Linked DNA regions of Neodiprion lecontei. The protein of the gene in region 2 interacts with the protein of the main gene of each other region in a biochemical or structural test. Links are inferred from orthologs where the notes say so. Each region holds a gene or a part of one and is shown on either strand. Other genes may lie near its edges. The genes, in order: roundabout homolog 2 and protein slit.

Region 1 (6,759 bases), on a different chromosome or scaffold from region 2:
CCGCGAATTCTGCACACATTATTATTGTATACAGTAATATGCGTACGCGTGTGTAATACAGACGTAGGGACACTCGGTGAACGCGTAAATTACGATGCGATTATGACGGTATACGCAGTTACAAGAAGATCGGAGAGTCGGGGAAAACTATAAGCACGTACGTAAATTAAGAGATAGCTTAAATTATGTAGTCTGTATCAATTACCAGACGGTCCCGGGCAGCAGCTTCTTCTTATTCTTATAATTCATTGGTCAGGGATTTCAAACGACGATGAAAATACTCGAGTAGGGAGATAGCATTCATACGGAATATTATATCTTGTGTATAAACGAGGCTGTCTTCAGACGATAACCACTCCGTATAGGATATACATGTGTAACGAATGCCCGAGGGAATATAATAATCCATATCGGCGTTTCGTGTGTAACGCAGCCGGTTATAATAATAATAAAGTTCGTTGAACGTTTGAAAGTTCATGGACACAAAATATGTTCCTTACTCGAGAAAACGATTACCAAAAAAATGGAGAGGCGGATAAGAATTATTTGGATTTTTAGGTTAATTCAATTTTTTCACGCCTCTTTTTTCTCACCTCTTTTTCTTTCAATATATTAACGAGAGGTGTTCCGGGACCGCGACGAGATCGAATAACGGACGCGTATGGTGGTTATACGTGAGTTGTCAATTTGCCTTGCACGTTTTCGATTAGTAGCCAGATTACGGGTCTCGAACAAGTGATCGATCAAAGTATCGATCGATCCTTTCACCCTCAAGGTACAGAAATCGTCTCATCTTTCTTACCTCGGTATGCCTGTATTTGGTACACGGTGTAAAAAATTAACACTCGATGGTGACGGACGAACAACAAAAATCACGATTTAGCCGCGTTAACGTTCAACGCCCAGAAATAATCGTAGACGACACTTTTATTGCAATCTATTCGTGCTCTTAATTTCTCGCAAGCCAATCGCTGATACAAGAATAAAGGAGAAAAAAAAGAAAACGGATAAATCCTCAGTTTTCGACCGATTGTTACAAGAAAATCATGTGCAATTTGAGTATAGATATATATATAAATATATGTATTTGAAAAACTTTTCACCCGAGGCTGACATTGTGATAATAAATTTTCCTCGTCTGGAACTTGAAATCTTGTGAAAAAATTGGTTAGTTTTAGGATTTCGAAAATATGAAGTTCAAAAGTCTTGAGAGTTTCAGAAATAGAGAAAAAAGGCGATTTCAAATTAAAAAAAGTATCGTAAAGCTCGTGACTGCACAATTACCAACAATGCGCGGGGGGGAAATTTTCATGTATCGAAACTTGTAATATAAATCGAGAGTAGGATGAAGAGAGATGCGATGAGAGGGAGACTGATTGTGATACGGTATTACAGAGGATCGGAAGAACTACGTGCCTTCGAGTTAGTCTCCCGTCGCGTCGTTCGCTATTATGTGGATTATGATTCATTATTCACAACTTCGTGTCCCCCTGCAATTCACGTACGAAACAAGAAGAAGACTGAGAAAAAGTCAAAGAGGATATGGAAGAAATTGAAGAAGATTGTTCAGAACAGAGTCCTATGGGTTATATGATCACAAAAAACAACGAAGTAAGTGAATTTTATGGTCCCTTTTATTTATTGAAATGTATAGTAATATCCTGACGACTTGAAGTTAATGACGTGAACCTGATGAAACATTGAAACTAAAATGATAGTTTTTCAATTTCGGAATAACTATATGAAATAGTTGAATGTTTAAAGTACGAATAATTTTGGATCGTCACACGGTTTAATGAGTTTCAGACGGTTAATGCAATCCTAAAATTACACAATAACGATTTTTCTTGAACAACGTTCAAGTTAGTGCGAGACTGAAGTTACCGTATTAAAACATTGAAACAAAAATGATTATTTTGCACCTTTAGGATAACTGTGGAATTTAAATTTACAAAATCTGAGTTTGTTCATGCTTTATTAACGGTTTCTTAAATTTCAGGTAATCCTTTAAAATCGCAAAACAATGAGTTTTTCGAAAGATGCTTCATTACAATAACGTTACAAACTTCAGCCTGAGAAGTTGGTAACGTAATTGTAACAAAAAAATTGGAGAACAATTCGTTATTTCGCAATTACTGAATTGAATTTGGGATTAAATTTACAAGGGACGCATATGTTTACGGTTTACGAAATTCGAGGCAATCTGAATGTTGCAAAATGACTGTCTTTCATAAAATTGTACGTATACCGTTACATTAAAAGTTTGTCGAAAGAAAAGAGTGTCCGCCGGATACGAGCAGCGAACCAAAAGGGAGAATGGTTCATTCGGTACAAACGATTCGATACAGTTCTAAATCGTTTCGTTCATTCAGGCCGCCGATTCTTGGAACTTCGTACCCGAGAGTTGGCGAGACAAAAAGTTTCCTCGAATTTGGGTATCGGGACGTGTTTTTACTCGACTCGCGTATCGATGGTCAAACTCCAATTCCCTGAATACGTGTGGTTTTTTTTCATTTCTTTTCATTTTTTAGGACTTCTGTAGTAGAAATTCTCACCTTTAGTCGCGACCGTCAAAAGGGTCAGAAGAATCAGACACCTGCTGTCCTCGGGCCGCATTTTCGACGATATCCAAAGCACCACTTTATTTATAATAATTGCGTAGAAACGGGGAAATGATAATCAGTAAAACAAAGGGTTTTGATTTACTCCTAAACGCACTACATTCCGATCCTTTTTTCATTTATTAATTTTTCTTTTTTTTTTTCTTTTCCCCCTACCACTTGATATAAATCACTTTAAATCTCTTTTCGTATGATACACACTTTTCAACTACGGTCTCGCACTTTTTTTCACCAACCACTGAATTCTGTTTTCCTCGCGTTCGCGATTTCTTTCTTTCTTGTTACTTTTTTTTTACTCTTCTCTTTTTTTCTTAATCGAGGTATCGGAAAGAAAGCGAAACGACGAAAGTAATAATACACAGACACATAATAAAATCACCGTTGAAACAAGCGAGTTATTTATTCGCCCTCTGTACCTCAAGATTCATTTTCATTCGCATTTCGAAAACAGTTCAAGTTCCGGTTCTTGATCCTCTTCGATGCGGGTGAAAAAGGGAGAGGGTGAAAAAAATGGAAACACCGATATCGACGTCTACTGAAATCGAAGGATTAAAGGAGAGCGCTAGTGCACGAAAGAATAACCAAAGAATCCGCTCCTTCCACCCACAATTAGGTACAAGCAACCTGCGCTCCACGCGACAAACTTCACAGGGGATAAAAACACCGTCACGCGGTTTGAGAAACGAATTTCACACAGTCAAGTTCCTCATGTTCGAAGGCGTGCGGAGTCTCTCGGAGAATCTTGGATCGATCGGGGATCGGGGAAAAAAGCGAAGCGGTTAAATTCAAATATCCGCAAAACCGCGGTGAGTGTTGGGATGGGGAAAAAAAAAAAAAAAATTCACCGCAACCGTTTCTTCTTCCCCATAGCGAGGAGGCTCGAGTCTCGATAATCGTTTCGACCGGTCGTCGAATCGCCGTTGTCACCACGCCGCGCACAACAACAAACAACGCTTGTCAAAAAGCTGTCGCCTCGAGCGATCTTTAACTCGCAACGAGCCAATGCTTGCAGCGCGACGGCCGAGTCGCGACTGCAGATGCTGAGATTCTTGCGCCTGGCCACGCGCCGCTTCGGCGATACTCGGCTACCTTCGGCTCCCACGAGAGCTCGTCGCGACGCCGTCCGCCTACCCGCGTCGCGACGCCTCGACTCGACGAGCCGCACACGCGCCCGTGCCACCCGCGGGGAGAGGCGCGGGATTACATCGCGGGTCCCGAGACGGAACCGAGTGGGTGGGTTATGCCTTGACAATAGAGGGAGAGAGAGAGAGAGAGAATCGGGACGAACCGCGCCAGCATCACAATGGATCCTTGTTTCATATTCCATTTGACTTCATCTTTTTCACCGGGCATCCCTTTCGCCTGCGCATGCCTTTTGCTTCCTTCGGTCGCGCGGTTTTTCACGATTCGTGTCCGATTTTTGTTGTTGTTTTTTTTTTTTTCTTTTATCATTCTATTTCTTACGTTCGGCTTTTTATTTCAGCGGTTTTATTTCAGCAATGAAGGGGTCAAATAAAACAATACGGAAATTTTCAGAGAAATTGTGATAAGGAATTAGGAGTGAAATTTTTTATAGCCAAAGCCAGCACAAACAGCAGCAGTTCTTAGATTAACAATCCCAATGTGTCTTCTCTTATTTCCTTCTGTAATATACATGAAAGTGAAGAGATGGGATTTTTTATGGAATTGCTTACGCTTGTATAAAAAATACGATAAAAAAACGAATGAGTTACTCCTAAGATTCCAACGATGCATACATATATTATTCGAGCAGGGGATGAAAAAGTTTGAATTTCAGGATTGAACGTGTCAAAAACTATCACCAAGCTATTCAGATTATCTTTTTGACGCTAGACATTATTACAGGTAGGTATAGATACTGAAATACCATTAATTGAAAATCATTAAGCCCACATCAATGATTAATCGCAAGTCTAGAGGGGCCGACTTTTCAGATCTGAGAGCGGGTTTTTTTTTTTTTTTTTTTTTTACACACAAACACACACACGCCATATTTTCTTCTTCTTCTTCTTTTTTTTTTATATCTGTGAGTTCTATCTACGGTCTGAAACGCGTTTAGGATCGGAAATTTATTACAGTTATATGTACGCGGCGGGTAGGAACGAGAGAGATTTTCTTAATGATCGAATTGGGTCCTGCGCGGTGCATTAGAGAGCATCGGGCCGAAACTCGTATATGTGATTATGTTAATCTATAGTAAATCAATTATTTAGTAATATATCATCGTTTACTTACGCGGCAAAGGCCGCGGCCGAAACATCTGCCAGGTATTAGCTGATGGCGACTGACCCGAATAGCGGCGGCGGTATCGGGAGAATCTATTGGCTCGGCAACACGCGTGATCCAGAAATCCAGGCTCTTCCACTGCGCCCGTATTCAGTTTGGTACAGTAAAAGGCCGAAGGGTGTATTGAATAATTCGCGCTGATGCAGGGGAGGAGGCATATTATCAAACGGGGTGAACTTCCCTACGGAAACAACGCGCGAATCGATACCTCGATGATTAATCGGCGGATATTATACTGCAGGTACCATGTATATATATATATATTATATACATACACACCGTGTACGTATACCTGAGTTGCCCTGCTTCCGGACAAAATATTTCCCGTTATATTTAACACGCATTGTCTGTGTAGTTCGAGCGCATAGTCGCGTATAAGCGATTATTAATAGTTTAGCTAAAGGGGTGAATAAATTTTTTGCCGACCGCCCACACGCCTATTATAATACTTTCCCGATGCCGCGAACCATCGATCCAAATTTTTCAAGCAATCGGAAACATCGTCTATCGCCGAACGTCGATCAGGGGAATATTTTCATTGGTTCGATTCGAATCGGGGGGTTTCAAAGATAAACTGTACAAGTATCTTGAAGTCTGTCAATTTCACTGAGAATAAACGAATTTTCCCTGTTGTGGAAAAATGATCGAAAACCCCAAATTGAAATGAAAAAAGTTCGGATTTTTTTTTATAGATTCAGAATAATATTCCTGTAATATTTTCGAGATTACTTCCGTCGGTAGGTAAAAAAATTGTTGCTGCAATTAGAGGATTTGAGGAAAGTTCAATTATGCAGCAATGATACTTTGAATTGGATAAGTGGTATGGTTTTTGCGTGAAAAAAAAAATGCAACAATGCGATTGTTTTAAAATTATTAATGATCTTACGTTTTCAGATGAAAGTCGTGGTTTGAAAATTTTTATCCAGCGTTGCGAAATTGTTCTTCTGTTTCGATTCAAATTTACTATATCTTCGATCACAGCTTACTTTAACTTCTATGTAGCATATTTCAACCTTGAATTTATGGTTCTTTCCGAAAAAATTTAGTATCGTTCGAAATATCGTACAGATTGTTATTTTTGGCAATTACAGAGTATCGATTATGCCGACAAAAATTGGCGAACCTCAATTTTCTAAAAAGAAGATGAAAAGAAAAAGAAAAATGACCAACCGATATCAGTATTGAATCGAGATCTCAGCCGCAGAATGGATAAATCGAAGCTTGCAGATGAGGGAGCGTTATAATTTTACGGAGGTCGAAGAAGCCGGCGGATCTGTGGGGTGCGGGTCACGTTTCTCTTTTCTTTTCATTTCCCTTCTGTTTATCCTCTCTTGTCCTTTCTTCTTTTCTTCTTTGTTCCTTTTTAAAGAGAGAAAAAGGAAAAGAAAGAAGTGAAAGAAAAAGAAAACTTCGCAGAGAAGTGGAAAGTTTATTTTTCAGGTTTTCATTAAGCGCGTAATCCTTGCGGACTCAAGTGCTACTAATTCATTTCGAGTTTATCGTTCGGATTCTAAGTCCCGCGGGTTTTGGCTCAAGTGCCGGTATTGCTTCAGCCGTATACTTTATGCATAATTATAAATATATTATATTATATTGTGTACATACAATACTTTGAGACGTCAAGCCTGTGGAATGGCTGGGAAAACAGTCTATTGAATGGGGTAGCAATAATTTGACAATATACGACACCGTACTGGGAAATAAACAGTTTGAAATATAGGGGTTTGTCCACATATTTTTTTCACCCTTACTTCTTTTTGTCACCTTTATTTATCGTTCCTTTTCGGGCGCCTCTGTGAAACACACACGTGTATTATACATATACCAGCTA
Region 2 (6,639 bases):
TGTACTGGTTACCAATCCGTCGTCTGATTTCGCTTCAACGACGTTATACCGAAAAAAGTTACAGGAAAAAAAGCCTTCCAAAATCGCATGTTTCTGCTGTAACAGTCCGAACTGACTATGAATTTTTTTAACGCGATTTTCCAGCTATTATATATTCCAGCGAAAAGTAATGTTAGAAAGTAAAGAATTTAAGATATTTATAATACAGAAGGTTTTTCCAACTCTGTTACTCCATTTATTTTTTCTTTTTTCTTTTGCAACGACGAGACTGGAAAGAAAGGGGGACACAAAATTGACTCGAACCCTTCCCTTCATAACTGGCTAAAAAATTCTCCTCTTCCTGCCGGTATAATACGGTATCGCATGAATATTAGGAATTTCATCATAAAACACCGAGGGTGCGGGAACATGAACTCTCGTGTTTGAAAAAGGGGCCAAATCGACGTGTTTCCCCGTTTCAAATACCGCACTTAATAAAACTAGGACTTTCGGCGGTCACAGTATAAACGTTAAACGAGTCAAAAATTTTTCGCAATGCCTGAAGATACGGCAATTTTACATTAAAAGAATTTATCATCCCAATTCACCAACATCCATCAGCTAAATTATCGTACAAATATACACACACATATGTATATACATATAATATACGACAGCAATATCTTGTCGTAAGAAACGTTAATCGGTCCAGGGTAATTTCGAGTCGTAAAAATGTCGGTGGGGTTATTTTACCAAGTAAACAATAAACGGCTAGGTTATGTAAGCGTTGGATATCCAACACAGCTGATTGTGAGAGCATCGTGCAACGAGCTGCATAAACGCTTCATTGCACTCGTAGCTTTCAAGCGCAGTTCACGTCGCTGTTACGTGGTTCTCTTTCACTCTCTCTCTCACTCTCTCTAAAGTTTAAAGAGGCGACAACGTCGGATCTAGCCCTATGGATAGTACACATCCTCATTTAAATGAGATAAATCTTGTTGCGGGTAATTTTGGGCGCACATTGCGACGCGACGGGTCCGAGAGAGAGAAAGAGAGATAGAGAGAGCGATACGCGCACGTAACTTTCGTCCAAACGACCAATTGGACTCCGAGTCGAGAGGAAGAAGAAAACTTGACGTGAGAGTGCCGTCCGGGTTGAATTGGGGCCCGGGGATCGGCATCTCGATTCGAAACGCAACACTTACAACGAACGCTGCCTGACCCTCCAAAGTCCAAAGTAGAGGTAGGCAAGCGCATTGCGCGTACTTGGGAGAACTTGACGCGAGTATAAACATACTCGTTAACTTATTTACTCTCAAGAATAAACCTGCTCCTAAACTCTAATCAGTAATCGCGCTTCCACACGGCTGCCTAAAAGCCCCTGTACATGCCGCGGTAGTCGCGCACTTATGCAGCGTGCCTCTCAAGCTCGCTATCACTCGAGGAATAATTATTATGGCTGCCAGAGGAGAATCGGGAGGATAACACTGACGCGGTTGTCACTAATTTTGGATCGTCAAATTCCCTGACTATGCCGGGGTTTGCTCATCCGAAATTGGTTTTATTCGAATATACACCTCTCGAGTCTGTTGACGTTGAAATAATGAACGACAAAATGTAATTAACCATAAGAAATTACAGTTTATTTATTTCAAAGTGCTTAGTAATCTGCTCGATATGCTTCAAACTTTCACTTGTAACTGATAGTTGAGCATACTCGGTTATGCGTTGAGTATTTTACCGAAACTGTGATGAAACCTTAAATTTTTTCCAAAAATTCGACATCGGAGTAGCCTGACTTGTCCACGATTTTTCAAGTATCGATTATTATTTTCCGTGCATAAAATTTCCGGGCACAATATTGATCGCGATTGCAGGTATAATCGGGAATGAATTTTCTCGATAAGCCGTAACATTTTCTTTTTGAAGCACGCGGAAAAAGCGTGCACGTGCAGTCGGAGCGGTCGAGCAGGTTCCGCGACGAAGAAGAATTCGCGAGTCTCTCTCACCCTTCGCCAATCTCTCCGCATGTAGCTTTTGCTTCAGGTCTCTCTGGACCCGCAGATTATACGTTTCGCAGGGTGCGGTAATTACGTGGTTGAAGTTGGTAACATTATCGCAACGAAACATTGTGGAAAAAGTCGCTATTTCCTTAATTTTACAATGATGTTTAAAGAACTAAGATTTCGAAGTATGAACTTGTTCCACTTTATTACGGCTTACTGCGTTTCAGACAGTTCCAAAATCCCGAAATATCGACGGTTTCTCCTCAGCACGAATCGTTACGACAACGTTACTAACTTCGGTGCGATGCGGTGTTTGCGTTATAATTGCGGAAACACGCGACCCGCGAATAAGCGCTAAAATCGCGAAAAAACGAACCGCGAGAGGCCGTATTGAAAGAAAAGGATCGCGCATAATAAGAGCCATTCGGAATCGAAGAGCCGTGCGGCTGCATCACGACTCGTAAACCGGAGTCTCGCTGCCACGATCCCGGAGTTCTTGTTCCTCTCGTTCCCGTTCCCTCAGCCTCGCTTACATTCCTCCTCGCCGTTCATTCTCCTTCCATTCTCGACTTGCTCCTTTTGCTTCTTACTTCTCCGCCGGCTAAGTCGTACCTCGCGCGGAGTAAAAAACGCGGAATGATAATGCGTGCGGCGATGAATGGAGGAGAATGAATGGCGCGGATCGAACCTGCGGACGCGAGTTATTGCGTAACGCGGCCGCGAAAATCGCGATCCTCTCTCCTTCTCTCCAACCGCCATTTTAAAAACGTCACGGGCCTAATTGTTACTTCGAGAAACGCACGCGAGCCGATCTTATCAATCTCAACAATAAGCGATTAATACCAATAACTCGGGACACCGTATTATTCAAATATTTTAGTGCGAGGGCGATTCGACCGCGACGCTTTTGCCCTAAGGTTTTGCATTCTTATCGCCAAATTTGCATAGATTAAAACCAAGGAGGTGGGAAGGAAAGCGACTCGGAAGGCAAGCAACCCGCGATACTGCCGCCCCTTTACATTCGAATATCCTTACAGAGTCACGAAACCTGCAGATGCAATTAGCGATTCAGTTTCAACGAATTTACGATCCGTACGAAGTAGAAAGAAAAAAGAAAAGGATTCATCCCGCCTATTTCGATATCGTAATCGTCATCGTTAGCACAGACGTTGCGAAACCGAGTTTTCGACGAGTTTCGAAGCCGCCGATCCTCCTTTCAATCGGGAGTTTCGGAGATCTTACACTTTTCTCGCTGTGCGAGTAGGCAGTGATTTAATACGAGAGAGATATTTGAATAGTAAATTTGTCGAAGGCTCGGATGCGCGCTTCCATTGAACATACCTTCGCAACAGTTTTTCGAAAACTCTAGAGAAACTCGCGGGCTCGCAGAGTGCCATCGGAAAACCCGGTTCCAGAATAAGGAGCGCGGGTGATTTGAATACCCGCTGAGTGGTACAAGAAATGAAAGTTCCAAAGGACTTGACACTGTATAGAAAATACGCTCGTAAAATATCTTTAGGTTCAAACTTACCGATCGATCTTGCAGTGCAGCGGTCGACAAATATCGGCGACGAACAAAACGATCGCATAAACGTGCGGCAAGTATTTACCCAGATAAGTCCTGACAACTACGACGAACGGTAAACGAAATATCCGAACAAACGAAATTACGTCGAAGAGTCAAAGAAAGAAATAAAAACTCCGCACGCGCACTTTTACCGAAAACACAATCACAACATAAACCACATGTTACATACGCGTAGTAATATCAAGCCGTGTAAATTATCGCGTAAAAAACACTCGGCTGTAAAATCGATTTACCATTTACTCCCGATTACGAAATTCGCTACGCAACCGCACTACGATGATCCGATCCGATCGCTCCGCGAAAAATCTCGACTATTATTCGAATGTATTCGAAATTATCGGATCGTCACTGCTGCTCGGGCAACTTTTGTCGACCACGGTGATTCTGAGATGGTCCAAACGAAGTGCGACCGAACTCTTCGGAGACTCGCGCTCAACTGCTGAACGGCTCGTGGCACGAACAACTACCGCGACCAATCAGAAGTAGAGATTGCGCGGCTCTCTTCCCGACTTCCGCTCGCTGACGTTCGTCCCGGCGGAGCCACTGTACACTCTGCACCCCTCGCGTAGGGTTGCTGCTGCAGGACTTGCGGCTCTCGTTATTGGTCCACCCCCTTTTTCACTATCTGTAATAGCAGAATTTAAACCTCTTGCGAATTTGTCGTTGCGAGAAAAATTTCACGCGAAAACAGGACGTCTGCGTGACATTTGAAAAGACGTTTTGTCGCTCCGAAATTCATTGCGAGGGTTTTTGTACGAGAAAAATGTTTTTCTTCGAATTTTGAAAATTAATTGGAACGACGTTTGGTCAATCGGTGGAGATGTTTCATGTACAATTTTCCTAGACTGTTTAGAATCCTGATTTTCGAACGGACAGCTTATCGTTAGATTGTTTGGAACAGAAATTCGGTGAAAGTTTGAGTATTCCCGATTCACAATAGATGTAAAACGAATATTTTCAATTACTTTTGCAATGTTCGATTAATTTTTTGGATGAAAATCATTGCACGCAGGAAATTTTTATTTGAGAACAAAATAGATCTTGTCGAATTTTTTCAAGATTGTTATTCTGACAAGAAATCAGAAATCGTAGTATTACGCTCCAAAAGTGAAATGAAACTTTCGAACCTTTGATATTTTCAATTTAAAAATACGCAACTGCGTAGTAATGTAATGACAAGCCAGTAAGATAGTTTTTAAAGAAAGAATTAATTTTGTTCTTCTCGCCCAATGATGTTTTATTTCTCGTCTGCAGGCGAAGTCTACAGTGTTAAACGCATGGGACAGACTTTACTTTATTCAATGACAGGCTTGAAACAGTTTGCCAACATTCACGAAAAGCCGGGTTCCGCGATTATCGATATATCTCTTTATCCCGCAAAGCTCGGGATCACGTCTTCGGTGTGTGTAAAATCCAAACATGATAGATTCAAGCTCTTGGTAGATAATTAACTGAGCTTCGGTTGATACGGATATACGGTAAACGATATATAACCTGCAAAGCCATGGTTTCATGTATATATAGATATATATGTGTATATATAAGATTGAGCAAAGCGATTTCGCGAGAGGCGAGAAAAGCGTTTAATTTTAAACCCCCGGTATACGCGAGAGCCGGAAAAGTCGTTCCGCGATCTTCTTACTTGCCGCGGAGCAAAAAAGAGGAAAAAGTAAAGAGGGTAAAAAACATCTCCCAGATCTCGTTTTCTGACAATGGAGACGTCCTCCCCCTTTTCTCCTTTCCACAGCCCCGTTCAGCATCGCGCTTTGCCTACAGCACAAGAGCGCTATTTTTTCGCTCCTATCCAGTCAATCTGACTGAATGTGATGAAAGTTATAATTGCACGTAGCAGAGGAGGGTGCCCTTTGCCCGTCAACGGACAGTCTGATTTAAACATTTTCACCGGAGGCGATCCTACTACCCTTATAGTAATACCCTAGTTGGGGTTGCAGGCTGTGCGAACCGATCCGGAGCGAAGCGAAGGGGTGAACGGTCTTTCATTGTGAAAATAAACGTGCGTTGTATATGTACATTTTTACACGAACACTGATCAGATACAGGGAAACACCGCCTATTCATATTGTTTGGCAAAGTTCCGACGATGTCGATGAAATCAACGCGATGCCGACCGTCGCGGTATGATTCAGAAATTGTATCAAACTAAGCCTTATCTGCCTTCTCCGCCCGCAATTATTTGTTTGTATACAGATGTGCGCGTGTGTGTGTGTGTGTGTGTGTGTGTTTACAACGTGAAATCACGAAGCTGCGTGTATCGGCTCTGCGTTAAACGCGCTTATGTGTGAGCATTGATAAAGGTAATGCCAACAGTTTATACAATGGACTTCCTAGAATCATTGTGCAAGTTATGCGGACGGAGGTTGTTATTTCTATGCATGAGTGTGTTTACTGCGAAGGCAATACGTTACCTGGCCATGTGTCAGCTGTAATTAGTGCCGGATTTAAATTTGAACTACGCGTCAGAGTTACGGATCTGAAACCCTGTTGCAGGATACCGTAGTTGCACAACTGAATTGTTACACCGCACGTTTAACGAAGCACACACGAGGCGTCTCGGTTAGGGAAATCGAGTTTGCGAGCTAAACTTTGTCGAATCAAAGTCCGTGGAAAACGTTGATTTACCGGGGTCATGTTTCATCTATACATTTCCATCCAAATTCAAGGAAATTCGGGTTACACTCGACGTTTGTTTATCTTTCACCTGCCTATAGGCGTCGCGTCGACTGTAAGTTTACATGTATACGTACATGTACACGAGTAACGATAACAATCGTTCACTTCGGTAGTGAAAAAAAAAAAGGGTGTGGAAAAAATTTGTACGAGGACAAATTTGTTTCGTTTGGGGCACGAGGCTGGGCTGTGTGAAGGAAACGGGCAACCAAGACGAGAGAAGTAGGGAAAACAGTTGGGTAAAAAACAGCTGTTTGGTTTTAAAAGATATCCTGCGGATTCCGGGGTAGCACGCTCTCGGAAAAGAAGTGTAAAAACAAGCGGGGGGAAAAAAGCGTGACAACGTGTCGCGTCTGTCAGCGCATGTCGCGTTCCTAA

Evidence for each region.
Region 1: the proteins of protein slit (region 2) and roundabout homolog 2 form a complex in vitro, tested with the Drosophila melanogaster proteins (2 studies listed by BioGRID). The link is inferred for Neodiprion lecontei from reciprocal best matches to the Drosophila melanogaster genes sli and robo1.

What each region holds. Positions count from the first base shown.
Region 1 is NC_060263.1:27,565,185-27,571,943, forward strand, and holds the start of roundabout homolog 2, read right to left. Parts: upstream 3,637-6,759; 5' UTR 2,617-3,636; coding exon 2,556-2,616; intron 1-2,555.
Region 2 is NC_060265.1:21,800,557-21,807,195, forward strand, and holds the start of protein slit, read right to left. Parts: upstream 4,009-6,639; 5' UTR 3,517-4,008; intron 1-3,516.